Oryctolagus cuniculus: one gene and its partners. The protein of the gene in region 2 interacts with the protein of the main gene of each other region in a pairwise test. Links are inferred from orthologs where the notes say so. Each region holds a gene or a part of one and is shown on either strand. Other genes may lie near its edges.

What was found.
Region 1: the proteins of FHL3 (region 2) and ZNF512B interact in binary tests that used the Homo sapiens proteins (3 or more experiments, as listed by UniProt). The two-hybrid records come from large-scale screens. The link is inferred for Oryctolagus cuniculus from reciprocal best matches to the Homo sapiens genes FHL3 and ZNF512B.
Region 3: the proteins of FHL3 (region 2) and SAXO1 interact in binary tests that used the Homo sapiens proteins (3 or more experiments, as listed by UniProt). The two-hybrid records come from large-scale screens. The link is inferred for Oryctolagus cuniculus from reciprocal best matches to the Homo sapiens genes FHL3 and SAXO1.
Region 4: the proteins of FHL3 (region 2) and TTLL10 interact in binary tests that used the Homo sapiens proteins (3 or more experiments, as listed by UniProt). The two-hybrid records come from large-scale screens. The link is inferred for Oryctolagus cuniculus from reciprocal best matches to the Homo sapiens genes FHL3 and TTLL10.
Region 5: the proteins of FHL3 (region 2) and MRPL27 interact in binary tests that used the Homo sapiens proteins (3 or more experiments, as listed by UniProt). The two-hybrid records come from large-scale screens. The link is inferred for Oryctolagus cuniculus from reciprocal best matches to the Homo sapiens genes FHL3 and MRPL27.
Region 6: the proteins of FHL3 (region 2) and PAK5 interact in a two-hybrid assay, tested with the Homo sapiens proteins (2 studies listed by BioGRID and IntAct). The two-hybrid records come from large-scale screens. The link is inferred for Oryctolagus cuniculus from reciprocal best matches to the Homo sapiens genes FHL3 and PAK5.
Region 7: the proteins of FHL3 (region 2) and GCM2 interact in binary tests that used the Homo sapiens proteins (3 or more experiments, as listed by UniProt). The link is inferred for Oryctolagus cuniculus from reciprocal best matches to the Homo sapiens genes FHL3 and GCM2.

What each region holds. Positions count from the first base shown.
Region 1 is NC_091442.1:208,714-212,768, reverse strand, and holds the start of ZNF512B (zinc finger protein 512B), read right to left. Parts: upstream 2,801-4,055; 5' UTR 2,605-2,800; intron 1,612-2,604; 5' UTR 1,610-1,611; coding exon 1,486-1,609; intron 1,307-1,485; coding exon 1,164-1,306; intron 831-1,163; coding exon 654-830; intron 571-653; coding exon 164-570; intron 64-163; coding exon 1-63. UniProt on the Homo sapiens protein: Involved in transcriptional regulation by repressing gene expression. Associates with the nucleosome remodeling and histone deacetylase (NuRD) complex, which promotes transcriptional repression by histone deacetylation and nucleosome remodeling.
Region 2 is NC_091438.1:134,803,313-134,807,539, reverse strand, and holds the start of FHL3 (four and a half LIM domains protein 3), read right to left. Parts: upstream 2,801-4,227; 5' UTR 2,019-2,800; coding exon 1,574-2,018; intron 1,462-1,573; exon of another isoform or gene 1,121-1,461; intron 1-1,120. UniProt on the Homo sapiens protein: Recruited by SOX15 to FOXK1 promoters where it acts as a transcriptional coactivator of FOXK1.
Region 3 is NC_091432.1:181,871,670-181,875,169, forward strand, and holds part of SAXO1 (stabilizer of axonemal microtubules 1), read right to left. Parts: intron 2,983-3,500; coding exon 2,780-2,982; intron 1-2,779. UniProt on the Homo sapiens protein: May play a role in the regulation of cilium length. Stabilizes microtubules at low temperature.
Region 4 is NC_091438.1:164,277,950-164,281,924, forward strand, and holds the start of TTLL10 (inactive polyglycylase TTLL10), read right to left. Parts: upstream 2,801-3,975; 5' UTR 2,637-2,800; coding exon 2,494-2,636; intron 1,057-2,493; exon of another isoform or gene 982-1,056; coding exon of another isoform or gene 971-981; intron 844-970; coding exon 419-843; intron 346-418; exon of another isoform or gene 151-345; intron 67-150; coding exon 1-66. UniProt on the Homo sapiens protein: Inactive polyglycylase.
Region 5 is NC_091448.1:26,292,418-26,296,536, reverse strand, and holds the start of MRPL27 (large ribosomal subunit protein bL27m), read left to right. Parts: upstream 1-1,319; 5' UTR 1,320-1,400; coding exon 1,401-1,440; exon of another isoform or gene 1,441-1,723; coding exon of another isoform or gene 1,724-1,727; intron 1,728-4,119.
Region 6 is NC_091442.1:34,493,238-34,496,737, forward strand, and holds part of PAK5 (serine/threonine-protein kinase PAK 5), read right to left. Parts: intron 3,163-3,500; coding exon 2,671-3,162; exon of another isoform or gene 2,440-2,670; intron 1-2,439.
Region 7 is NC_091436.1:159,776,830-159,780,095, reverse strand, and holds the end of GCM2 (chorion-specific transcription factor GCMb), read right to left. Parts: intron 2,993-3,266; coding exon 2,867-2,992; intron 1,422-2,866; coding exon 501-1,421; downstream 1-500. UniProt on the Homo sapiens protein: Transcription factor that binds specific sequences on gene promoters and activate their transcription. Through the regulation of gene transcription, may play a role in parathyroid gland development.

The DNA of each region.
Region 1 (4,055 bases), on a different chromosome or scaffold from region 2:
TGCCCGTTCTCAGGCTTCGCCTGCTTGGGTGGGATGGGGCAGGCGTCCAGGCCATCGGCAGCCCTGCGGGGCACAGCGAGCTGAGGGCCAGGAGGACCTGCAGGGTGGGCCTCGTCCCCCCAGGCTGCGGCCGAGGAGCGCCCCACCCACGGAGAGCCCGTACCTTCTCTTACCGCTGCTCCGCCCACTGGCGCGAGGCGCTTGGTTCTCAGACTGGGTCAGCAGCGCCATCTTGCAGGGCGGTGTGTGTCTGCTGACGGTCACTGGCTTGCTGACCACGACGGGCCTGCTGACCGGCAGGGGCCTGCTGACCGTGATGGGCTTGCCGACTGGCACAGGCCTGGCGACTGGCACAGGTTTGCCAACAGGCACGGGCCTGCTGACCGTGACGGGCCTGCTGACCCCAATGGGCCGGCTGATGGTAACCGGACGGCTGACCGGCCCAGGCTTGGGGGCAGGCAGGGGTCGGTCCATGTGGTTCCAAATCCGGTGCTTCTCCAGCTGGGTCTTGGACGTGAACGCGGCTTCACAGAAGGGGCAAGGGAACGCCAGCCTGTCTGAGACGGCGCCCTGGGCAGGGAGGGCAGGTGTGGGACGGGGCCCAGGGCCCACACACATCCCAGGCCACCTCTTCCCAACCCAGGGGCCCTTACCCCCTGGCACCGCTGGTAATGGTACTTGAGCCCGTAGATGCTGGGGAACTCCAGCCAGCACCCCGAGTTTGGGCACTTCACCCTGGAGTGTGCCTTGAATTCATCTTTCCACTGGTTCATCAGGGAGAGCTGGGTGTGGGGAGAGGTCAGGCTGCCGACCCTCCACGGCCCAGGCCTCTGCCAACCCAAGACTTGGGCTCAGAGCCCTGCCCGGGCCTACAGGACACGAGGGGCCCTGCCCAGGCCTACAGGACACGGGGGGCCAGGCCTACAGGACACGGGGGCCCTGCCTACAGGACACAGGGGGCCTATAGGACTTGGGGGCACACCAACCACAGGGAGAATTCAGCACCCCAAGCAGTGGCCATGACCAGGCCCACTCTGAGGGCTACTGGGACCTCATGACGCGTGTGTGTGTGTGTGTGTGTGTGCGCGAGGGGCTGGCCACACCCTGGGGCAGGGGCCTCCATGGGCAGGGCACACGCCCAGTCTGGGCCTCAGGGAGCTCACAGGGATGTCTCGGAGGGCCTGGTTCTCAGCTTTCGGCCGCCCCTTTTTCTTCCCTTCCGTCCTGTCGCTGGCTGGACTTCCGGGGTCAAAGCAGAGTGGGGCCTGGCCAGGCACCGTCTGTCCACCGCGAGCTACCGGCATCCCTGCAGCACAGGGCACACGCAGGCTAGGGCACCGCGCAGCCGTGTCTGGCGCCTCGGGGGCCTCGCACCCACAGCAGCAAGGCACTGGGGCGAAGGCTGTGGCCAGCCCTGGACAAGGACCCACGTGAACACAGCTCCCACCCGAGGGCAGGGGCCCTTCTGGTGGCCGTGACCCTCACCCAGCTTCGGCGCGTCGTGCAGCACGGGCAGCCGGACCTCCTTCCTGCCGCCTTCCTTCCCCGGCCCACTCCTGCCGGGGCCCTGGAGCCGGCGGCTGCTTCCGACACAGAAGGGATCGGTCATCTCTGCAAGGGACAGCAGGCAGACGTGCCATGAGGCCCGCTGCGCCCCAGGCCTGGCCAAGGAAGGAAGCGTGTGGCAGGGGGACCAGGAGGCACCCTCTGTGCAGCAGGACCCAGTCCTGTCCCAAGACCCTCGCCAGCTCTGACAGCCTCCCCCTCTCCCGTACCTGCCACAGGCGTCCAGGGTCACCCTCGTCCCCAGCTGGCCAGGGTGCGCAAAAGGGAGGAGGAGGCTGGGGGCCGACCATGCCTTCGGCTGCCCTGCCCAGCACCCACGGGGCCCCCAGACCCAGGAAACACCCACCCGCCCCGCCAGCAGCCCAGGCACAGGCGGAAGGCAACCAAGGAAGCTGAGAGGGTCCCTGGACACTCACACCCCCTCTGGCAGCACCCAGGGCAACATGGTCTCCAGCCAGACCTGGGCTACCACCAGCTGACCTCCCCTCGCGGCCACTAGCAAGAGGCTTTCCTGTCCCGGCCCTGCCATTCCTCCACGGGGTCACCCTGGAGCAGGCGCAGGGCTGGGTGAAGAGCGGACCCCTCCCCTAACAGCGTCTACCTAAGTCGGGCGGGACAGGAGGGGAGGGGGCTGCTAAGGTCAGCGAAGGCCGAGGCCCCAAGGCAGGATAGCCGCTGCTCAGGGCCCAGGGGTGCCGGCGGCCTGGGCCTGGGCGTTGGGAGGGTCCTCACGCCAGGAAAGTTCTCCCAAGTCCCCACTTGGCACGCGGAAGGCAGACAGCGCCGGCCCGGGTCCTCGCGTCCCTGACGACCCTCCGCGGACAGCGGCGCCGATGCGGCCGTGCCCCCCAGTGCCCCCCAAGCCCGGGGCCGGCTTGGCGCGGGAGGCAGAGACCCGCCCTCCGCCCGGGCCTCGGCGCCAGGACGGCAAGGGGCGGCCACGGCCGGGCGCCGGCCCGGCGGGGCCGCGGGGACCCCGCGGGGACCCTGCGGGGAGGGCGGCTGCGCTCGCGCGCCGGGCCCGGCCTCGCCACCCACCTGTCACCTGCGCGGGCGCGGGCCTCGGCCTGGCCCGGAAGGGCCGCTGGCGGCGCGGGGGGGGCGAAGGCAGTGAACCAAAATGGCGACTTTTTCCGAAGAGGAGGAGGCGGGAAGACGGCGCCGGCGCGGGGCGCGGGGCGCGCGCGGGGTCCGGGCGCGGCGGCAGCGGCGGCGGGGACGGCGCGGGGCGCGGGGCGGGGGTGGCGGCCGCGCCGGGCGAGGCGGGGGCGGCCGGCGCTGACCTGCGGCGCCCAGCAGGGCCGGGGCCGGGCCGGGCCGGGCCGGGGGCGCGGGGCGCGGGGTCCGGGCGGCGCAGGCTGCACGCCGCGCTGCGCACATGCGCGCTCCGCCCCTCCCACCTTTGACAGTTTTACGGCGGGGGGGAGGGGGCGAACTCTCGCGGTATTCCTGCCACGCGCGGCGCCGGGGAGGGGGCGGCAGCCGGGGTCCGGGGTCCGGGGTCCGGGGTCCGGGGTCTCGCGTCTCGCGTCTCGCGCCAGGGCTCGGAGCTCCGTCGCCTCCGCCGTGGGGACTCCCAGGCGGGGACCAGTTGTGCTGCCTGTGGAACGTGGGGGCGAACTGAGGCCCGCGAGGGGCTTTGGGCGCTGCCCCGAGTCCTGCACGCACGGACGGAGCCAGGGCAGGTGCAGCAGGAAGGCCACGGCGCTCCCGCCCCCCCACTCGGGCCCACTGGCCAGCAGGCTGCAGACCAGCTGGCCCCTGCCAGGGCACCAGGGCTTGGCTGGGGTCCCTGGCCACTGGACCTGCCTCTTTTAGCCCCGGGATGGGTGTTCCTCGGTGGCTGGTGTCAGGTCTGGGGCGAGGGGCCCGGCCCCTCAGGCTTGGGCATAGATGAGGCAGAGCGTGGTGGGCAGCGGCCTGCAGGTGCCCCAAGGCCCTGCCCCCTCCCTGACGCAGCCATCCTGCAGGGCTGGGAGAGAGGAACCCTGGGGTGGACCCTGTGTGGGCCACAGCGTCCACAGGCTTCTGCTGTGTGTGCTGCTGCATCTGCTGAGTTTCAGACGCCCCAGGAAAGCTCATGGACCTCTGCACCCCGTTGGACACTGCTGCGCGGGAGGTAGAGACAGGTGCATAGCCCTCTCTCAGGCCCTCTGCTTCAGCACCCCCTGCCCAGCCTGGGGGCAGAACTCAGGTTCACCAGGACCTCGGGGGAGGGGCTGGCCTGGGTCCCCTGGGGCGAGACTTCATTGCCAGTGCCTGCCCAGGGCTGGCGAATGAACGGCCCGGTGCCCTCGTGTGCCTGGGTGGCCATACCGTGAGGCTGGGGTGTTGTGTCCCGACCCTGCCCTGTGTGGGAGGCTGGAGCCCCGACCCTACAGGGGAGGCCTTCTTTGGAGGAGGGTTGCACACAGAGTCCCTGCCTGGGGAGATGAGAGGGAGCCAGGGCCAACAGGCAGGCACCAGAAACCCGAAGGGGCTTGGAGGCC
Region 2 (4,227 bases):
CTCCCGTCCCAGGAGAATCAGCAGAGCAGCCAGAGCTGGAGAGGCTCAGGCTGGGCTGGAGCAGGAAGGAAATCCTGCACGTTGGACACGGCCGAGCTTCCCCGGCTGGGCCCTCTGCCCTCCTTCCCCTCCACCCCGCTGTGTCTCTGGTCACACCAGCCTGGGCAGCCTTGGCTGCAACATCTGCAGCAGCTGTGGCAACACAGATGGCCAGATGTCAGATTTGCCAGCGACAGGGGAGAAAAAAGGAAAAAGCTATGCCTGCGGCGGCTGCGGGTCCCCAGGGACAGAGAGCAGTGTGGCCTCTGCCACCTCCTGCTGGGCACCAGCACAGCCCCAGGAGCTTCCCTTCTTCTGGGTCCCGATTTCGTTCCTCCTGACTCCGGTGGGGGTAGCCTCGCCCCACTTTCTTGGATTTCTCGGGGTTGGGGCAGGCGGGCATGAAGGGTGAGAGACCCAGCGCCCCTGGAGCCACTCTCCCCAGGCAGGGCCCCTCGTAGGTGCGGAGGAAGACCAGGGGGAGCCCTGAGAGCCGCTGCTGCAGACACCCAGCCCCCAGCAAACCTCAGACACTTTCCATTTTCTCAGGAACAAAGCATGTTTGTGGGATGAGGTCATCCACACAGCTGCCTCTGGAACAGGAGTGTGGGGAGCAGGGTGTAGGGAAGTGGGGTTCCCAGCCCCTTCTGTGGCTCGTGATTCCTGTCTCCAGAACCCAGATTAGAGCTTCCCACCCCTGGCCTCCTCCACCAGGAAGTCTGCTCTCTAAGGGCTAAGGTCCCAGGGTGCCAGGGAAGAACCACCAGGACCCCTGGGAAGGGGACAGATGCTCTTTCAGCTGCGGATGAGCCTGGGGAAGTTCAAGAGACACAAAGGAACCCACCACCCCACTCCCCTCCACCAGACCCCAGAGCCTGCCCTGGCTCAAGCTGAAGGAAAAGCCCTCCTGTCCCAGCCAGCCCCAGTGGGAAATTCTCGCCAGCAAGCACTGCTCTGGCCTGGAGCTCTGACTCCAGGCGCCAGCAGATGCCCCAGGGCTGGAGGGCCTGACTCCTCCGATGGGCTGGCTTCCGTGTTCCGGACTTCCCTTCTACACCATGGGAGGACACCGAGTTCGTACCTCAGGCCACGGTGTGAGGCCGACAGGAGCTGGGGTATTCAGAGCACGGACTCCTGGGATCGGAGTTATGCTCCAGGGTGGAGGGCAGCCCTCCTTCAGTCCCCTGCCGGCCACTCAGGCTCGGGTTTCCTCCTGAGGATTGCCTGGGCTGGCAGCCACTGGGCAGCAGGGGGCCCCGCAGGTGGAAAGTGGCCATGTGTCCCTCCAGGAGTGCCTGGGGCCTTTTCCTTCCTTCCTGGCTGGGCCAGCAGTGGCAGCAGTAGCGGCTACCTTCCCAGGCCCTGGCTAGCCCCGGGTCCGCCCCCTGGGAGGCAGTCACCACTCTGAGACGGGGCACCCCAAATAGGGTATGGGAGTGGCTTCTGTTTCCTTCCCAGACTCCCCCAATCCCTGAATCTATCCGGCTGGGCCCTGGGGAGGGAGGGCAGAGGGAAGGACACCAGCAAGACCCACCTGTCTCTGCCTGTCCTTCTCTGGCAAGGCTTGGGGGACCGAAAGGACTTGTAGAGAGCCAGTCCTGTATGCTTCCTGACCGGTGGCGGGGAGAGGGGGCAGGGACTGGGGAGACTGCTTCACCTGCCAGATGGCTCTCAGCCTCTGCTCCCAACAATACACACACCCCTCCACCTGACCCAGACACACACACAGCACCTCCTGGGTTTGCACACTGGCTCCTCACTGGCTGCATGACCTTAGGTGAGTTACTCAAGCTCCCAGGCCTGGTTTTCTCTTCTAATTCACTAAGCTCATGCCCCTTCCTACCTCCCAGGGTGCCGGTCCTCGGACAGCACCTGGCAGATGGGCAGAACTCAGTATGGGCAGCTATTTGACTTTGGCTGAAATCAGACGGCAGTTTCTCAGGAACGTCCGTGACCTGGACATTCGTGCACAAGGCCATGGGGAGGTCAGGTGGCCCCACGGCCCATGGGGCTGGCTGAGGACAGCCGTGGGTCCAGTGGTGGCTGCAGCGCCGCCAGCCTGACTCCAGGGAGCAGAACTCGGCCCCTGGCTGGCGACACCTGCCTGCTGCTCTGCCCCTCACAAAGTGCCCCTAGATCACCCTCCAGCGCAGCTCCTGGAAGGCCGGCAGTGCGGAATCTCGTCCCCATTTTACAGCTGAGCACACCAAGGACAGGGCAGGAGTGTGCCCAAGGTCCATCTGGGATCAGAGTCCACGTCCCGGAGCCCCTCCTCATTCCCTCTCCCTAGAAGTGCCATGGTGGTGCTGGAGGAGGTGGTTCAGCTTTTAAGGGCAGAGCAACAGGAGCTGTACCAGAGCCTGGCTCTTCTCCCCAGCTGCCAGCCCTGCCACTGGAAGACACCCAGCGGCCTTTCCAAATACCCGTGCCAACTGCTCAGCCCTTTTGCCCCCCCCCCCCTTCCCCACTGTGCAGGAGGACCCTGGCCAACCCCCACAGCTGTGAGTCAGGCTCAGAACAGCACCCCCCCCAGGAGTTGACAGGAGACTTAAGGAGAGAAATCAAGGTGCTCCCCCCCCCCCCCAGCCGCTACCAACTCCAACTTCACTGCTCTCTCTCCTCCTCTTCCCATCTGGCCTGGGAAGTTAAAGCAGTGTAGGGGCAAGGGGGTGGGGAGCAGGATCCCGAAGCAGCTCTGGGACCGGCCTGGCCGGGCCAGGAACAGTTCATTCACCCTGAGGTCCCTACGGCTGAAGCTGCCCGCCCAAGATCTGAGTTTAAAAATAAGCTGGGGCTGTCCTGGCAGCCGTGTCAGTGCGTGGGGCTCCTTCTCGTTCTCGATCTCACCGGCCCGGGTCCCCTGCCTTATGGGGGAGGGCTGGGTTCAGTTCCTTTCCCCAGGGCACCCGTCCGGGTGTCTCAGGGTCTCAGCCAGCTCAGGTCCCTGTGTGTGCTGAGCTGGGCTCCACTCCATCCTGGGTTTGGGGGCTGTCTTTGTGCTCCTCTGGGGTCTCTGTGCCTCCGAATGCTGTTCCCCCGCGGGGTCCTCAACCCTTTGGGCTTCCAACTGTGTGCACCCAAGTCTTTGGTGACTCTTAAAGGACCCTCGCCCCTCTCCTGTCCCGTCCGTTAGCAATCTCTGCCTCATGTCTCTGAAGGGCTCTGTAGCCCTCACACAAACGGACTGAGCGAGAGGCGAAGCCGAAGCTCCAGGGCTCCCCGCAAGGCCCTCGTAATTGTTCACGTCCAGTTTCTGTCCTCGCTTCAGCGATCTCCGTAGCCTCCGGTCCTGCGCCCCACTGGGCTTCCCCGGAGCCTCCGTTCCTCCAACCCTCCCGGTCTGTCTCTGTCTCTCTGGCTTTTCTATTTCAAACTTGGTCCCCTCCCCCGTCCAACACTCGCATTGGCCCCCGCCTCTCCAGGCGGCCGGGGGAGCGGTCCGGCCCCGGCGGGCGCTCTCCGGGGCGCAGCATGCCCGGGGCGGGGGCCGGCAGCTGCGGTTCGGAGCCGGGGTCGGCGGGGCGCTCACCTCGCAGCTGGCGGCGGGAGCCGGACGCGCGCGGAGCGGGTGGGGCCGGGAACCAGGAGCCGCGTCCCTCGGCGCCTCCTACCTGCGGGCCGCGCCGAGCCGGGCGGCGCGAGCTGCCGGCTGCACACGGACCGTGTGGGCGAGTGGGCGCGCGGCCCCAGCCCCGGCGAGGAAGTGCGCGCGGGCCCGCCCCGCCCGGACCCCGCCCCCGGCCCCCGGCCCGAAGGGGGGGTCAGACCCCGCCCCCACCTCCCTCTCCGCCTCGAGCCGCCCAGCCCCCTCCCGCGGCCCCCAACCTGGCTGGCCCGACTGCGGGGCAGTGGGGACCTGCCCCGCCCCCTCCCGCAGCGCTCTGTCTTCTCGCTGCCCCCGGCCCACACCCCGCGAGCCGCCAGCGAGCAGCGGGAGCCTGCAGCAGTCTGTCTCGGGTGAGGGGTGCAGAGCCCTGGCAGCCAGGGCCCATTCTCCGGCTCCCCCGCCCCAGCTTACCCCCAGGAGGTGTGAAGGAGGCCTTAATTCCTTTTGGAGGAGGGAGTGTTTTCGACTCTGTTGTCAAGGCTCTTTCAGCGAGGACCAAGGTGTTCTCTGGAAACGTGGGGCGAAGAGAGGTTCTCCATAAGGCCTTGACCTTCAGAGGGCTTTAGCCCACAACTCTGAGC
Region 3 (3,500 bases), on a different chromosome or scaffold from region 2:
CTTTATATACAGAAGATTGATTTAGTATTTATTAAGTAAAGATTTCATCAGTTTGCACCCATACAGAAACACAAAGTGTAAAATACTGTTTCAGTACTAGTTATAGCATTACTTCACATTGGACAACACATTAAGGACAGATCCCACATGAGCAGTAAGTACACAGTGACTCCTGTTGTTGACTTAACAATTTGACACTCTTGTTTATGGCATCAGTAATCTCCTTAGGCTCTAGTCATGAGTTGCCAAGGCTATGGAAGCCTTTTGGGTTCGCCGACTTCAATCTTTTTCCGACAGGGTCATAGTCAAAGTGGAAGTTCTCTCCTCCCTTCAGAGAAAGGTACCTCCTTCTTTGATGGCCCCGTTCTTTCCACTGGGATCTCACTTGCAGAGATCTTTCATTTAGGTCTCTCTCTCTCTCTCTTTTTTTTTTTTTTTTTTTTTTTTTTTTTTTTTTTTTTCGCCAGAGTGTCTTGGCTTTCCATTAGGGCACAATTTTGGAAGCCAACATTTCATAGAGGTTAAAGGGTGTGTGGTTTCCACAAGTATAGACAATTTAATTGGCTTGGGGCTGGGGAATGGAAGATCCTTGACCCCTTGAGGCTGATAGTCTGACCAGTGAGATAAATGTTAAGCAAAACAAATTATTCAATGATGATGACAGGGGATAGTCCTTCCAGGATCGATAAGGTGCTCTAACGGTGCTCTAAGCACCTGAACTGGCTTGAGGGGAGATCCTGGAAGGCCTCTGCCGATGTGATGTTTTGGCTGCTAGCTAAAGGACAAGTGACACACAGAAAGCAGGAGAGATCTATGCAGAAGGAATCCCAACGCTAAAAATCCTGAAGCAGAAAAGATATGGAGGAAGGGAACTGAATGGAGGCCCTAAGGCTGGAGCAGAGGAGCTCGGGATGGAGAATCCAGAACCTACAAGGCTTTAGAAGTTAGTAAGGATTGGGATTTGATCCTAAATACTACAATGCTTATTTGAGGAGTTTCAAGCACAGAAGATTAGTTGATAAGATTGTAGATATGCTCAAGTGTATGTCAAGGAGTACACTTCAAGAAGGCAAGACTAGGACTTGGCCAGCGGGAAACAACAAAAGTATGGAAGGTAGAGGGAGTTTAGGGCATTAGTGACAGATGAGCTGCAATGATCTAACATGGAATAGGCTACATGGAAAGAACAGGCACAGGAGAGAAGGTTGGGCACCAACAGATTAGGGGATACAACAAGGCCAAGAACTGTTGTGATGGAAGCAGATCAGAGACTAAGTCAGAGGGACCGGATGTTGGGGTACACAAAGTCTTCAGAGGTGGGATAATTTCAGGGTAGAATGTCCAGAGGGTTGTCTTTCAGAAGGTGGCTATGGATGACTAGGAGAGGAGCACACTAGGGTAAGAAAGTAAAAGGCCAGAGTGGAGATTGCCATAGAGGTCTATACTAGTAACAGCCCTGAATCTCCAATATGAGCAGGGCCCACCAGAATGGTAGGCTCAGAACTCCTCCAAGCAAAATTTCCCACATGTCTCCAGCCTTCGCCACCTCTGCTGCCAGCCTACCTCATTAGTAAATGCTTAACTAAACATAACCCTTATGATAGAGGTCCACCAAGATCATTCAGAGGTACACCGATGTTTCACATAAATTAACTGTTGAAACTTGTCTTCCTAGAGCAACAGTGTGCATCATAAACAGAGGCATTACAGATGACAAGCTTGGCCTCCATTCTCTGATCTCCATCTTGGGGCCAGGCTCTCAGGGGTATCTGCTGTTATACTGGTAGCCCAACCATAGGACTCCACTGCCCTTCTCTCCCACTGGACTAGAGGGCCTAGGACAGTTCACAGTTCCTAGGCACATGCCTGGTATGTAATAGATAATCAACGAAAAATAATTATGCAATTTTTTTAAATTTTCAAAAACAGATTTTGAATGTTTCATGACAAAGCAATAACAAATATTTGAGGAGGTAAATGTGGGCCATGATTTGAACAAAATATAACATACACATGTATGAAAATAACACATTATAACACATAAATAAGTATAATGATGTCAAAAGTAAAACTATGTCAATTCACTTAAAATATGTTACAAAACTGGCAAAATTATTTTGAAGTATTAAAAATCAGCATTATGGTTATATTCCAGTTGAGAAAGGTGGCTGAAAGGGAGTAGTGATGCTATTTTCTTGATCTGGGTGCTATTTATAAGGGTGTATTCAGCCAAAATTCATTGGCCTGTACCACTATGATTTATATACATTCCTGTATATTACATTTCAATATTGTTCTAAGTGAATGCGTGAATCAGTCATTGAATCAGTAGAATCTAGCTCACCTAAAACTTGAAGTACTTCCCCAATGCATATGATTCAAACAGTGAACTAAGGCAGGGGTCAGAAAATATTTTCTGTAAAAGGCTAGATACTAAGTACCTATAGCCTTACAGACCATAGGGTCTTTGTCAAACTACTCAGTTTTGCCAGCGATAACATGCACTGTATTCCAATAAAATGTACTTGTAAACACTGAACTTTGAATTCCATGTAATTTTCACATGTCTTAAAGTAATATATATTTTTTGGCAAACATTTGAAAATTTTAAAACCATGCTTAGCTCTCGACCCATATAAAAGCAATCTGTTGGCTGGATTTGGCTTTCATGAAGGAGTTTGCTGACCCCTGCACCAAGAGAACATACAAAACATACTTCCTGATCTGTCTACAATTCAGCCTATCCTTTCCCCAGCCCACTTCTCAAGCGTTCTCCCACCTTTATAAGTAGGCAGACACTCCATCTTGTCACCACACGGGTATTTATTATCCCGAGGTTTAATGGGGTCCACTCGACAGACAGGGTAGGGGTTGTAATCTTGTTTGTATGTTGTGAGCAAATCCATATTCTCTTCACTGGGGATGAACTGTTCGGGCTGGTGGACCTTCACTGGTACCACTTTGTGAGGCCCAAAGTCTCTTCTGGAAGGAAAACAAATACATATTGTTGGAGTCCTTGGCTTGGAATGAGGCTTGTGTTTTCCATCCCAACCCAATCCTAAAACATTTGCTGAGAAGTCAACATCTTCTCTGCCCCCACTCACTGCTTTTCCTCGTCTACCTCCCACTTTCTAGAATGGTACCACTATTCCCTTCTCACCAAATCAGACTCTTGGATGTCATCCTGGAAACCCTCTCTCACAGTCCAGAGTCTGTCACTCATTCACCAGGTGTGGCCTCCTCCACCTCATGAGTTGTTCTGTCCCCTTTAGTTTAGGCCCTAGATCATGTGACAGCCTACTGTGCAAGCTCCCTGCTTTCTCTCCCACCATTTCTACTTCAACCACCATAGTATGGCCAAACTGTCTAAATGAAAACGGGATCATTTTGTTCCCCAGCTTACAAATATCCCAGATAACACTCGATCTCCTAGAATGATTTGTAAACTCTCCTGGACCTGGCCTCTACCTTACTGCCCACCCTCATCTCCCACCACCCTA
Region 4 (3,975 bases), about 29 Mb from region 2:
CTTGGCCCTGCGTGGGCAGGAGCCCCTTGTCTCGGCCGCTGCCCATCCGTCTCCCAGGGGCCCAGCCTGTGCAGGGGCGGATCTGGTGGGTGGGGGGCACCCGTCTGTCGGGCCAAGCCCAGCCCACGACCAGCTGCACCGGGCTCTCACCCCAGCCCCTGCCTCATTGCGGCTTGCAACTGACCAGAGCCTGAGGGTGATAGTGACAGGAGCAGGCAGGGCTGGGGAGTGAGGCGGAGTGGGGGCACACACAGCGCCGGGGCCTGCCTGGAGGGCCGGGGTCACAATGTCCATGATGATGTCATGAGTGACCCAAAGGCCGCTGTCAGGCTGGGGCTGTGGGGTGGCATGGGGTGGGGTGGGGGCCCTCCCGGGACTGACTGGGAGGCCCTTGGCCATGAGGCTGCCTAGCGGTCACCTGGTGCCCTGGCCCGGCACCGGCACAGCCTGGACCGCCTCTTCCTCTTGGCGCTGAGCTGGGCCCGCGTGGACGGTCTCCGGCAGTGGATGAACCGGGTGTGGCTGCGGCCGGCTGGCTTGGGGGCACCGGGCCGAGAGCCCCGCTGGGAAGACGGGACCCCCACTCTCCTGCGGGATCTCTGGGCAGCCCGCGGGACCAGCCTCTGGACAGGGCGCAACGTGGGGCCCCCCCTGCCAGGGGAAAGGCGTCTCCCAGGGGGCTGGGTGGGGGCCTCCCCCCGGGGCCGGCTCCCAACCCCACGGTGGCTGTGGGGCCGGGCGGCCCGTGCTGCCGCGGTGCCCTCCGAGTCGGATCTCTGCGGGGCGAGCCCTGCCTTGCCCGGCCCGTCCATCTGGCCTTGAGGAGCGCGGTCTGGCTGTCGGCTGCAAGGAGGCCGTGGTCAGGGGTTGGAGGACCGGGGCATCCTGAGCGGCACCCCGCCTGCTACTGCCGTCCCTGTGGCTGCCTGGCCCCACGGCCCGACCCCTGGATCTGGTCCCCAGGTGCCACCTTTGCAGCATGTCAGGGAACCTGTGGCCACTTCCTGGCCTGCGAGTCCATGGGTGGCCTGCTGGGGGAGAGGACTTTCTGCAGGTCTGAAAGAAAGCAAGCAGTGGGGATGCTGGGGCGGCTGGGAGGGGCCTGGGTGCTGCTCCCGAGTGAATCCCTGGGCAGCCAGCGGATGCCTGCCCAATGGCGGTGATGCAGGTGCCCGTGGCCTCTGCCCCAGAGTGGCAGCGAAGGAGCTGCCCGGCTCCAGGCACTGGGAGGATGGGGCCAGGCCTGGAGCAGCCAGAACCGAGGCTGGCAGGCACCCAGGGCAGGGTGGGGGCGCGGGCAGAAGCTAGGAGCTCCCCACACAGGAGGGCCGGGTGTGGACGCTGGACCTGGCCTGCAGGGCCTGACGATGGGGCAGCAGATCAGTTAGACCCCCCCAGCACCCTGCTCCGAAGAGTCCTTCTGGGGCGCTGGGACCCCCAAGACGCCGCTGAGCAGTGCCCAGAGCCCAGGCTTCTTAGGGAGGAGTTCCAAGTGGGAGCCGCAGAATGACACGGACACAGCTGGACACATGCGGGGGCACACAGGGACACAGGCACATGTGGACACACGGGCACTCACAGACGTGTACAGACACGTATGCGTAGACACGCTTGGACAGACACTCAGACACAAGCACACAGAGACACAGGCACGGACACAAGTGGACCTGCCCTGATATGCAGGGACACACACAGAGAGGTGTGGAGGAAGATGGGCGGAGGTGGGCGTCATGGATGCTGATGGAGGGGTGAGCTGGGAGGGTGCGGGCAGGGCTGCTCCCCCAGGCTCCAGCTGGGCACTGTGAACACGGGAACAGTGAGGAGTAACCAGCAGGGTCCTGTCCAGGAGGTTGTGCAAAGGGGCCCCCCGGGACAGGAAGGGCCCAGTTCCAGCCCCGCCCAGGGGCCTGCGAGCACTGTGGGGGTGTCGCGAGGTGTGGCCGGAGGGAGGCCGCAGGAGGGTCCTGGTCAGAACCCTGGAATTGTGCACCTGGTGGGGGCAGCCGAGGTGGGGGGAGGCCGCGGGAGGGGTGGGCGGGGCTTCGAGAGGCGACGTCGCGGGAGGGGCGGAGCGGGAGCGGGGCCTCGGGAGGGCCTCCGTGCTGGGGCTGAGCCCCGCCTGCAGGTGCAGATCTGGGGCTTCGGCAGGCGCCTGCAATAGGCAGGCGGGAGGAGGAGGGTCCAGGGGTGAGGGCTCTGGAGGCCTAGGTTCGCGCTGGCCGCGGCCGGAGGAGCCCCAGGCAGCCTCGGCTCTTCCGTCGCTCGCACGCCAGGTTCCTGAGTGGACTGCATGGCTACTTCCTGTACGCACTGTGAGCAGCGCCACCAGGCGGAGGACGCAGGGGCCCAAGGGTCAGGAGCCCCAGGCGCCGCTGCCCCGGAGGCCACGCCAGCCTGAAACCACCCGGTGTGGTTCGCGGGGGCGAGGCCTGGCCCTGCGGGGGGCGCCGTGGACCTGCTGCCCAGCCGGCGGGGCAAACTCTAGGTTTTTACCTGGTGAGACGGGCGGGCAGGAGGCCGCCCCCTGGGAAGGGACACGCGAAGTATTCCCAGACCTGGGAACAAGTGACCAGAGACCGCGCACGGATCAGCCTCTGCCCGCACACTGCCGCGGGCTCTGAGGAGCTGCCGTGCATGGAAGCCGGCGCCTTCTGGCCAGGGACTGCGAGAGACACGGGGCCCGCGGACTTCAGGGAGACAGGAGGCAGGTGGTCCTGAGAGTGCCCAGCCCAGCCGCCCCACCCCCTCCCTGTCCACTCCCCTCCCCCGCCGGCCTTCTGCTTCAGGCAGGGGCCCAGGTCTGGTGGCCGAGGGGGGCGCAGGAGCGCAGGTGCAGACTGGCGGCCGGCCTGTCCCTCTTACCTGCCTGGCGAGGTCGTGAGAGCCCTCTGCTGGACACAACAGTGGCGACCTGGCAACTGTCTCCCAGCAATGGTTACCTGGCAACCGTGATCCAGCAGAGCCCTGCGGGTTTTAGGTGGACTGGGCAGGGGTCTCTAACCCTTGGGTGCACCCCCACTGCTGGGGTCATGACCTCTGACCCTCACCTGGTTCTTCTGTTGTCCTCATGACCCTCCAGGGTGACCCCGAGAGGTCCTCCGTCCACTGGTTCAGTCTTCAAATGTCTGAAGCCAGGAGCCTGGAGCTCCATCGGGTCCTAACCACTAGGCCAAACGCTCACACCAAGAGTGCTTTTATTTATTTATTTATTTATTATTTTTTCTGACAGGCAGAGTTAGACAGTGAGAGAGAGAGACAGAGAGAAAGGTCTTCCTTTTTCCATTGGTTCACCCCCGAAGTGGCCACCATGGCCGGCACGTTGCAGCAGGTGCGCTGCGCCGATCCGAAGCCAGGAGCCAGGTGCTTCTCCTGGTCTCCCATGGGGTGCAAGGCCCAAGGACCTGGGCCATCCTCCACTGCACTCCTGGGCCACATGCCTGGAAGAGGGGCAACCGGGACAGAATCCAGCGCCCCAACCGGGACGAGAACCCGGTGTGCTAGCGCCGCAGGCGGAGGATTAGCCTAGTGAGCCACGGCGCCGGCCAAGAGATTCTCTTTCAAATAAATGAGAGAGAGAGCACTTCCATTGGCTGGTTCACAACTCAGATGGCTGTGCCTGCCGGGGCTTGGCCAAGTGGAAACAGAGCCTGGAGCTCCTTCTGGGTCTCCCACACAGTGTGGGGCCAAGCACTTGGGCCATCCTCAGCTGCTTTCCCAGGCATGTTAGCAGGGAGCTGGACAGGAAGTGGAGCAGCTGGGACTCGAACCGGCACCCACATGGGATGGCAGCGTCGCAGGTGGGGTCTTATAAGCGCCTGCGCCAGAACACTGGCCCCGTGTGTGATTTCTCTGTAGCAGCTTTTCCTGGCAGCCCCAGGAAATGAACCTCCCCTGGAACCCATCCTCGCCCCGAGGGTACCCCCCACTCCTCCCCACGTGGAGTCTCACCTGCTGGCCGGGGTCCACAGGGGTCCA
Region 5 (4,119 bases), on a different chromosome or scaffold from region 2:
GGACCTCTCTCTCTCTCTCTCTCTCTGCCTCTCTGTAACTCTGCCTTTCAAATAAATAAATAAATCTTAAAAAGCAGGGATAATATTATAATTTTCACTGGATAGTAACAACACTCATCACCACCCTCTAGACCTCTCCATTTGAAATGGTGCTGTGGCCTAGCAGTTTAAGCTGCTGTCTGCAGTGTCAGCATCCCATGTGGGTGCTGGTTGGAGTCCCAGCTGCTCCACTTCCGATCCAGCTCTCTCCTATGGCCTGGGAAAGCAGCAGAGGATGGCCCAAGTCCTGCATGGGAGACCCAGAAGAAGCTCCAGGCTCCTGGCTTCAGATCAACCTGTCTCCGGCTTTTGCAGCCATTTAGGGAGTGAACCAACAGATGGAAGACTTCTCTCTGCTTCTGCCTCTCTGTGACTGTACTTCTCAAATAAATAAATCTTTCAAAAAAATTCATCTTTTTAAGTGTACAGCCCAACAGTTTTAATATATTTAGTGTTGTGCAACTACCACTGCTAATGCCAGAACATTTCTATGACTTCAGAAGTCATTAAGCTATCATCGTCCATCCTCCTCCCCCCAGCCCCTGGCAACCACAGATTTACCATGGCTCTATGGGTCTGCCCATGCTGGATACTGCATATCCAGAGGAATCACACACTATGTGGCTCTTTCCCTTTTATGTTTGGGAGTTTCATCTGTGTCGCAGTATGGGCCAGTACTTTATTGCTTTTCATGGCTGAATATTCCAACGTGTGGCTCTACCACATTTTGCTTATGCATCACTTAAGGGGCGTTTGGTTTGTTTCTATTTTTGGTCACTATGAATAACGCGGTTATGAACATCGAGGTACAAGTTTTTATGTGGGCATATTTTCAATTCTCTTGCATATAAACTGAGGACTGGACTAGCTGGGTCATATGCAAGCCTCCTTTCTCGAACAAAAACTTACTGACCCTGGGTGAGCCAGCTAATCCTCGGCCTGTTTCTCCCTTGGTACAACAGGGATAGCAATACCGCCTTTGTAAGGCCGTGAGAATTAACGCATTACCGCGCTTAGGACGGTGTCTGGCACTTTAAAGACAAGGGAGGGGGTCTCATCCGTGTCCCGCAGCGGGATCTCGGTTGACTCCTGCAAAATGAGCCACTCGGAGAAGCAGACCCCTGCCCGGCACGCTCCGCGCCTCCCAGGTCAGCCGTCAGGGCGGAGGACCCCGACGCCCTGGCCACCAAGCTCCCGCGCAGCGGCGCTCTGGAAGACAGCCTTGGCCGGTGAAGTCCGACACCCCGGACGCTCACCTGTACCTCCTCGCGCCACTCATTCAACCGCCGCACCGGACCCGGAAGTAGATCTCCCGGTAGCGGAAGCAGCCTTTCGAGACCGGAAGCGATTGTAAGGCAAACATGGCGTCGGCGGCGCTGGCCCTGAGGACGCGGGCGGCCGGTAATGGGACAATGTAGTCGTTGCGGAGAGATCTGGCAGGGGACCCGGGAGGTGGCAGCCAGCCCCCGCGGAGGTCCCTGGGTGCGGGATTGGGGAGTTCTGTGGCACGCCCGGTTGGAGTGGCGGCGGTGGCCGGTCACGTGCCGTATCTTGGGCGGAGCCGCGGGCTTGGGGAGTATCTGGGGAGCATTCGGCCCTCCCCTGCGTGTGGATTTCTCGCTTCTCTGGCTGTTGGTGACGTGGGCACGCCGCATTGCCTCGCTGGGCTTGCGTGGATCCCTTCATGTGTAAGAAGGAGCAGTAATATTGACACGTTGGACTTCAGAACGTTCATCTGTTCATTCAACATGTTGAGATCTAATTTGGTGCCGGACACCGGTGGGTGTTCGAAGTACCAGCGGAAAACGTGAAGACATGGTCTCCACCCTCCCGATGGCCCTTTCTAGTTTTCATTTTTTATTTATCTAGCCGGTAAATAAGCATACATATATATGACAGTTGTAAATTGTGATCGGTGCTAAGAACGTGTTTGTGTGTGTGTGTGTGTGTTTTACATTGGTCAGGAAGGCCCTAGCAGCTGATAACACCTAAAGACCTAAAAGGCCGAGACCTGTAGGAACCAGAGAATGACTTGATCCAGCTTTACATATTTGTTAAGGATTTATTTTTACTTATTTTGAAAGAGTTAACAGAGAGCAAGATCTTCCATCCACTGGTTCACTCCACACATGGCCACAATGGCCAGGGCTGAGCCAGGCTGAAGCCAGGAGCCTGGGTGACAGGGGCCCAAATACCTGGACCATCCTTCACTGCTTTCCTAGGCCATGAGCAGGGAGCTGGATCAGAAGTGGAGCGGCCGGATGGCACCCATATAGGATGCAGGCATTGCAGATGGCAGCTTTACCCACTTGGACACAACACTGGCCCCCAGTTTCACATTCTGAGAAACTATTGTGTTTATGTAACTAAGGGAGTTTTGGTAGAAATGAGGTAACCAGATGGGAAGCTGTCATATGTTGAGAGATGGTTTAGCCAAGATGGTGGTGGCCCTGAACTTGGAGGAAATGAGTGGACTTGAGATCCAGAGCTGCCGGTGCACTGGATATGTGGAGGAAGCCTGCAGGGACTCCTTGGTCTCTGAGCAGCTGGGTAGATTGTGGAGTGATTTATGTTGAGGAAGAGGATGGGAAGTACGGGTTAAGAGCGAAGATTTGTGAATGAGATAATATAGAAAAAGCAAAAGGCCAGTTCCCAAGTTAAGTAAATGAATGGATGTTTAAAGTTTTGTTTTTTTTTTTTATGATTTATTTTATTTATTTGAAAGGCAGAGCTACAGAGAGAAAGAGATCTTCTACCCGCTGGTTCACTCCCCAAATGGCTGCCATGACCAGGTCTGGGCCAGGCTGAAGCCAGTAGCCAGGAACTTCTTCCTGGTCTCCCACATGGGTGCAAGGGCCCAAGCACTTGGGCCATCTTCTGCTGTTTTCCCAAGCACGTAGGCAGGGAGCTGGATCAGAAGTGGAACAGCCAGGACTCTAACTGGCACCCATATGGGATGCTGGCATCTCAGGCGGTGGCTTTAGCGGCTTCTCCACAGCGCCAGCCCCTGTGCTAGGCCTTTAGCATGCTGTCTCTGGCCCTTTGTCCCAGCTCATCTCTTCTCATGAAAATTGCAGAAACATAGGCTTTGGGAACTCTGAATTTACATGCACCACAGATCTACAAGGCCTCTCTAAGATGCTATCCTGGTCCTTAAACCATGACTGTCTCAGCAGACCCAGGGGCAAGACCTGCCAGCCAAGGCCAGTCATACAGCAAGGACTTCCATCTGAGTTAAAATGAACTTTAGTTCACTTTCCTTTTTTAAAATAAATGCCACTGAACACTTTGGAACAAGTCTGGAGAGGTGAGATAACAAGGACATTGTGTTGGTCTTGGTTGGATCTCTAATGGACTTTTTTTTTTAGATTTGTTTGTTTGTTTGAAAGGCAGAGGAGAGACAGAGAGAGCTTCCATCCTCTGGTTCACTCCCCAAGTGCCCGCAACAGCTGGTGATGGGCCATGCTGGAACCAGGAGCCAGGATTTCCACCCAGGTCTCCTACGTGGGTGGCAGAAATTCAAGTGCTTGGGCCTTGGTCTGCTTTCCAGACGCACTGGCGGGATGCTGGATGGGAAGTGGAGGAGCCGGACTCAGTGCCGCGGTTCTAATAAGGGATGCAGGCGTCCTAAGTGCAGCTTTACCCACTGCACCACAACTGCTACCACTTGATGGACTTTGGGAAGAAAGGGTGTTGCTTTTGAAACGGCTGGGAGCCACCCCCGGACCCAGTGCGCCTTAAATATCCAATCCATCTGTGAGATGAGCAGATAGGAAAGGCAGTGGTGGTGCGGCTGAGGCGGAGCCCCTCTCCGGTGTGACCTGGGGCAGTGAGGCTGCGAGGCGGGCAGCAGCGCCCTGTCCCCTCGCTGGCCTCTCCCGCGCTGTGGTGTTTCTCTCCTCAGCAGGACTGAACGGGTCAGGGCCCAGAGCACATGATGTTTGCTCGCGTTTCCATTTCACTGCCCCCACCCCCCTCATGCAGTGCGTATGGCCTGCACAGGAAGGAATGAGTTGACCCCTGCCTTGAGAAAAGCACAAGGCCTTCCCGCACACTCAGGGAGTATTTGTGTTCTCCTCA
Region 6 (3,500 bases), on a different chromosome or scaffold from region 2:
TGTGGCAGCTTCTAGTCAATTTGTCAGAATTAGAGTTAAATAATCAATTACAGGGGCCAGCATTGTGGTACAGAGTTAAGCCACTGCTTTTGATACTGAAACCCCATGTTAAAGTGTTGGTTTGAGTCTTGATTGCTTTGCTTCTGATCTATCTCCTTGCTAATGTGTCTGGGAAGGCAGTGGAAGATGGCTCAAGTCCTTGGGTTCCTGCCACCTACCATGTGAGAGACCAGGATGGAGTTCCTGGCTCTTGCATTTAGCCTGGCCAAGACCTGACTGTTACAGCTATTTGGGGTGTGAACCAATGGATGGAAGTTCTATCTTTCTCCCGCCCCTGCCTCTCTCTCTCTCTTTCCCCCTCTCTCTGTTGCTCTGCCTTTTGAATAAATAAATAAATAATAAATAAATAATAAATCTTTTACAAAATAACCAATTATAGGGTTGTTTATATAATATTGCCCTGTCTATTCTGGAATTGTGGTTTGAAAACAAATTTCAGAAATCAGGAGTAGTAGATTGGGAGGATGGGACTCCATGAAACTCAGGGTGTGCCTAAGAAATGAGCAGTCCTTAGAGCTGGAGATGAGTGGAGGTCGCCAGGGCTGCCTTGGAATCCTTCATGGAAGAGGGGGCCAAAATTACAGACAAGTACATTTGTGAAGTGCCTACTTACGGACCAAACAATTCCTACATACTTCTGAGAGAACATGAAATCTCACAACCAGAGTGGTCAGGTGGCCCTAGCTTGTTTTGGGAGTTAGGAGGTGTGAACACCCCTTGTGAGAGACTGACATTATCTAATGCTGACATCGTGACTTGACATCTTTAGGACTTAGATCTCTCACCCACAAACACTCAATTCTCTCTCCAAGACTCTCACAAAATTACCAAGGGGACAATATTCCAAAATGTGTGTGTTTTCTGACACCGTTACTCATGCTTTCCCATCTGTTTTAGAGCTCTTAAATGACAAGTGATTTTAAAGATAAATGAAGCAGGGGAACAATATATACAAGAAATACACAGAAGAGGGTTAATTCCTTAATAGATCAAGAGCTCTTATACATTAATAAGACAAATTTTAACATCCTAATTGAAAACTGCAAAGGACATATGGTTTAATGAAGAAATAAAAATGACCTATAACTATAAAAAGGGACTGAACCTCTCTAATAATAAAAAGGCTAATTAAAATAGTAAGATTTATCCATGTCTATAAAGTTAACAGAGACAACATGTTAGCATCCAATCGGATACAAGTGAGGGTGCAAAAGGACTGTTGGTGAGGGTCCAAATTAATACAAGCTTTCTGAAAATCAACACCATCAATAATTTCTCAAAAATGACATTTATATATCATTTGATCTGTTCCTTCTACCTCCAGGAAACTAAAGAAATGATCAGATATGAGGCCAAGAACTGAAGTGTAATAATACTCATTGTAAGATTATTAAAGTGACAAATTGGAAACATAAGTCAGAGATCATTTTAATGAATTTGATACATGAACATGATAGAAGATTATTAGGTTATTAAATATTTTGACATATAGTTATGAAAATATGTCAATGTATTTTATATTAATAGATACATAATTTATATATTAGTGTCTTATTTTATATTAATTTTATTAACATGACATCAATATTAAGTGAAATCAGGAAGTTACCAACCCACATATATAGAATTATCCTTATGCTAAATACAAGAAATATGTAAATAGAAAAATTATAGAAAGAAAATACTGAAGTAATGTAGGCTATTGTGGGATGCTTAGGTATTTTGTGGAATATTTTCCATTTTACATATTTTCTACAGGAAGAATTCACTATTTTTTTTTTATTATTATTAGTGAGGGAGACTGAATGGGAGAGAGAGACAGACAGAGCTCCCATCTGTTGTTTCACTCCTCAAATGCCTGCAATGGCCACAGCAGGGCCTGTGACAGTCAGGAGCTTGGAACTCCATTCAGGTCTCCCAAATGGGTGGCAGGGATCCATCTACGTGAGCTATCACCTGCCTCTCAGGGCCTGCATGGGCAGGAAGCTGGAATCGGGAGCAGACTAGGAACTGAACCCAGGCACTCTAATGCAGAACATGGAATAAGCATCTTAATCAACATCTTAACCACTAGACCAAACACCTACCCTCATTCTTTTTATAGTTAAGAACATAAAATATGTTAAAGTTCCTGTACAGCGATAGTCCATTGGTAAACTGACCTCTGTTTATTAGAAAAATTGGTAGGAAAACTTAGCTACACACTGCGTGCATGATATCATAACAGTGTAAAATGTACATATACCCCTGTAGACAGTGTAGCATGAGGCTTTGGGATCTGCTAGACTGGGATTCAAATTCCAGGTGTGCAATAAACCTACTGTTCCACCCTGGGCTAGTCATTCACCTGCCTGAACACAGGTTTCCTCTTATCTGAAGCAGTGATCAAGTATTTCCACCTCCTATGGTTGCTGTGGCTGATGTGCATGAAGTACTCCATAACGGGAACAGCCAAACATCATGGAAAAAGATGAGAAGGGAAGATGATGCAATTTTTATCTTAATGCTTTCAGTGGTTTTCTAAAGTCCTAAAATGTACATGTATAATTTTTTAAAATGGGAAATAAACGTTACATAGGCGAGAAAGGGTGAGCCAGACACATCACTCACCTCGTTAAAAAGCAGCTCTCGCCTTTGTTGCTTCCGGAGGTCCATCTTCTTCACCGCAACTTGTTTCCCTGTGTGTTTCTCAGTGGCGATGCACACAATGCCCGTCGACCCTTCCCCAATTTTGATAAAGTTGTCCAGGTACTCCCTGGGGTCCCCTGGGCTGACCACCAGCTGCAGGGCAGCCCGAAACTGTTCGTGGGACACCCTGGAGGGCTGCTGGTCTGAGGAGGAGCCCCAGCTGGGAGGAGGGTAGGTGCTGGATGAGATGCTGAGAGAACTCAGGTAAGAGGCGGTGGAGATGTACTGCGAGCTGGTCTGCAGGGAAGGGTGGTGGTATAGGGAGGCTTTTTGGTACCCAGATGGGTACTGGTGGCTGCTGGAGGAATAGCCCCCTTTGCTTTGACTTTGAGGTAGTTTGGCGGGGCCCCTGGGGTAGGTGTCGGACCCTGACAGTGGTGGGCTGAGGACCATCTGTGCTCGATCATAGTCCACCTGGGAAGACAGGGACAGAGACCATTCGCATGTTAGAACTGAACAGCAGCACACCCCTCAGGTTAGTGAGCCAACTTACAGCTGGCAGAATGAAGACCATCAGAAGTGATGGAGGGAGATGCCAGGTATTGAGTGCTGAGTAAATCTGGACAGTTGTCTTCTCGTACTGCTGTGCACCCAAGGTGTATTTTCTGCTTAAGCCTTATTTTCTTATTCTGAAATGAAAGATCCCATCTCCTGTTAAAGGATGTTGTCTTCAGCTAGCATTCTGGGCCGAAATTTCAGGGGTAGGAAGCCCCTTCCCTTGCTTCTGAAGTCACATATTCAAGGGTGGAATG
Region 7 (3,266 bases), on a different chromosome or scaffold from region 2:
TATTTTAACAGGTTCTACATGCTAAATAAAATTTTATGAAATGACTCAGGGGATAAGATTTTGCAAATTTCTTCCTGGAGTTCTTTAGATAGTCTCTAACAGCCAAATAGAGAGGGGTGAAATTCCCTTATAAAGTCGAGTGGAGAAAAGGCTGGCTTCGAACCAGAACTGGGATCCCTGACTAATGCTGCAGCCAGCAAGCTCAGTGCACTTGGGCCAGTGTTCAGCCTTTGTGGGCTCCGGTTGGCTGATTGGCTCATTTTGGAGATTCTCACCTTCCCAAGCTACTTCTGTGCACCCATAGCTGGTCTCAAAATGCTGTGCAAACTTTCCCTGTGCCATCTCAGCATCCCAGCTGGCCATTGCCTCTGCTCATCAGCATCCTGACTGCTAAAGAAATCTCTATTTCTTTATGTATAAGAAGAGTAAGATAGGTGTCATTTCATGTTCTATTGCCTGCCGGTTCACCAGTCAATATTGGGTGCATCCTGGATTGTCTTTCAGAAGTCCTCATTGTCATAGCTCAATAATGGGACCGCCCTATCCGAGTAACTCATTGCAGAGCCCAGCCCAGACAAGCACACGTCCCAAGTGTCTGCTCCGTCTGTTCTCGAGGGAGCCTCCTGCTGAGGGAAGTCCAGTGTGGGTCTGATGGCCCGGCAGTCTCCTGGAAGTGTCAGAGGAGAGTCCGCTCTGTTGGTGCTGGCTGGGGGGTCCAAGGGTTCTGGATGGACGGACATCAGAGCATTTTCAGAAACATAGCTGCAGCTGGAAAGGCTGGAGTGCTCTAGCACATGGTCACTGTAAGCCAGAGCAGGGGGCTGGAAGGCCTGGTAGGACACTTTGGTGGTGGTGGTGATGACGGTCTGCAGGGCTGGAGCACCTGCTGGGGGGGATGTGAGATGCCTGCAGGGAACCTCTGGGTTATAATAAGGCCTAGTGGCCATGGCCTGGAACTCTCCATGGTCAATTCTTTCCCCAAGGTCAGGTCTCCCAAGAGCTGGTCTCCAGCCATGCTGTTTATTGGTAAAGTCATAGCCTCTCTCATGGCTATTGTAGGAATTGACATCATACTGAAGTGTGTTCAGATGAACCCACTCTGTTTCATTAGGGACACTGGTGGAATCTGTATACAAGGTAGGATATAGGTTCGAATTTGTGTAACCAGGGCCTGCCAATTCATACCTACAAGTTGGCCTGGACAAATAGATTCTTGGGGTTGGGTACTTGTGAAAGGGTGGCATTATGTCTCCTTGAAAGGTGGCAAGGTCACAGGTGGCTTTGTAAGCCTCAGAGTTTGGGAAGGAGGGGCAAGTCTGAGCTGAAATAGGGAAGCTGGGGTCAGCAATTGTGTCGAGCAGTTCTGGATTTTCCAGGGGTGGTGTGTTGAAATCTCCACGTCTGTCTTGATTCTCTCCTGCCTAAAAAAATGATACAGACATACAATATATAAATTGTTTGCACATCCCTCCTGTAACAGTAGCCAATCACATAAATAAAACCCAACTTCCCAGTGGTGTGGACAGAACTGCTCAGGTACAGGATTTGGGCCCATGGTCTAGGGATAGATAAGCTTGAGCTGACTCAGGCCTGAGTATCACACAGTGAACACGGAAGGTCCCTGGCAGCCAGGCATTTGGGTTGGAGAAGCAAATGACCCTGTTCTCATCCATATTGTCTGCATAAGAGGGCAGACTCAGGAGCCACACAGTCCTGGGTTCAAGTCCTTATTCTGCCCCTCACTAATTGAGCTAATCCAACCTCTCTGAGCCTTGGACTTCTCATTTCAAGCATGGGACTTAATAACAGCAACCTGATCATAGGGTTTCTGTAACCATCAGATGTATGACACTCTTAGATCAGTACGTGGCACAGAGGAAGTGCTGGAATAAGGTCAGTTTCTATTCTGCTCACACTAACACTTTGCCTGCTTGACAAGCTCCAGTCGAAAGGTCAAACTGGATCAAACTTCCCCAAGAAATTTTATCTGGTCCTGTGTAAGCAACATAAAGCATTCTCCCAAGGATGCACCTGCCATAATCCTCCCTTAATCATCTACAGTCAACTACTGTTCAAAAAAATTAAGTGGAAAATTCCAGAAATAATTTGTGAGCTTTATTAACACATATTATTATAATTATTCTATTAAGCTCTATTATAGATATGAATATATATAGCTATGAATATATATACATACATACATACATACATACAGTACATAGAGGGCTCCGTGTGACCTGAAGTTTGAGGCATCCATTGGTGGTCTTGAAGTGTCTCTCCCATGGTCAAGGAGTCTATGGTATCCCTTTGTCACTAACTGGATCATGTATTTGGATGTCAGCACACACCCTAACTATATTGTTGTCCTTAAGGTGTTTTTTTTTTTTTTTTTTTTAAGGAGGGATTAGAATCGTTCTCCAGAGATGGGCTTTGGCACAGCAGTTAAGTTGCTGTTTAAGATGCCCACGTGTCATACCTGAGTACCTGGGTTTGAGTCCCAGCTAAACTCCCTGATTCCATCTTTCTGCTAATGCTCCCCCTGGTAGATAGCAGGTGATGGCTTAAGTAGTTGGGTTCCTGCCACTCCCATGGGAAATGCCAGTTGAATTCTCAGTTTCTGTTTTTGGCCTGACATAACCCTGGCCATTGCAAGCATTCTGGGTGTCTGCCTTCCAAATAAATAAAACAAGTGAAAATTTAGAGATTCTGTCCCAATGTCGACACTATGTTTTGTCAGAGATAGATAATTTTCACATAAGATCGTAACTTTGTAATTACTGTATGAGATTCATATTTCAATTAATTATCAGTGTATCCTGCTATGGAAATGGACACAGAGCACAGTGCTGGGCCAGCTCCCCAGTACCTCAGGGTCTCGAATTCTCTTCTTCTGGGGCTGGAAGAAAGAAGCCATATGTCTCTTAATGGCACTTCTTCTAGCTTCCGTCTCCGACTTACTCTCTGGTCTTGGGTGGTCGTGGACCCCCTTGGCCTGCGTTAATGAAGAAATGAGTCAGATGTTTGTTCCTCTGAAGCAGGAGTGGGGAAGGCCCGGCTCATGGGCAGTATAAGGCCCACAAAATCATGTGGTCTGGCCCTGACAAGGCAACCGCAGGGGGAGCTGCAATTCAATAAATCTACAGCCAGCTAATTTTTAAGTTGACTTTTGTATGACCATGAATGATGTTATAAAAAAGGCTCCCCTACCCCTTGAAGCTAGCCATGTGGGCCTGAGTTAATCATGCCTTCCCAAGATCCCAAGTTGT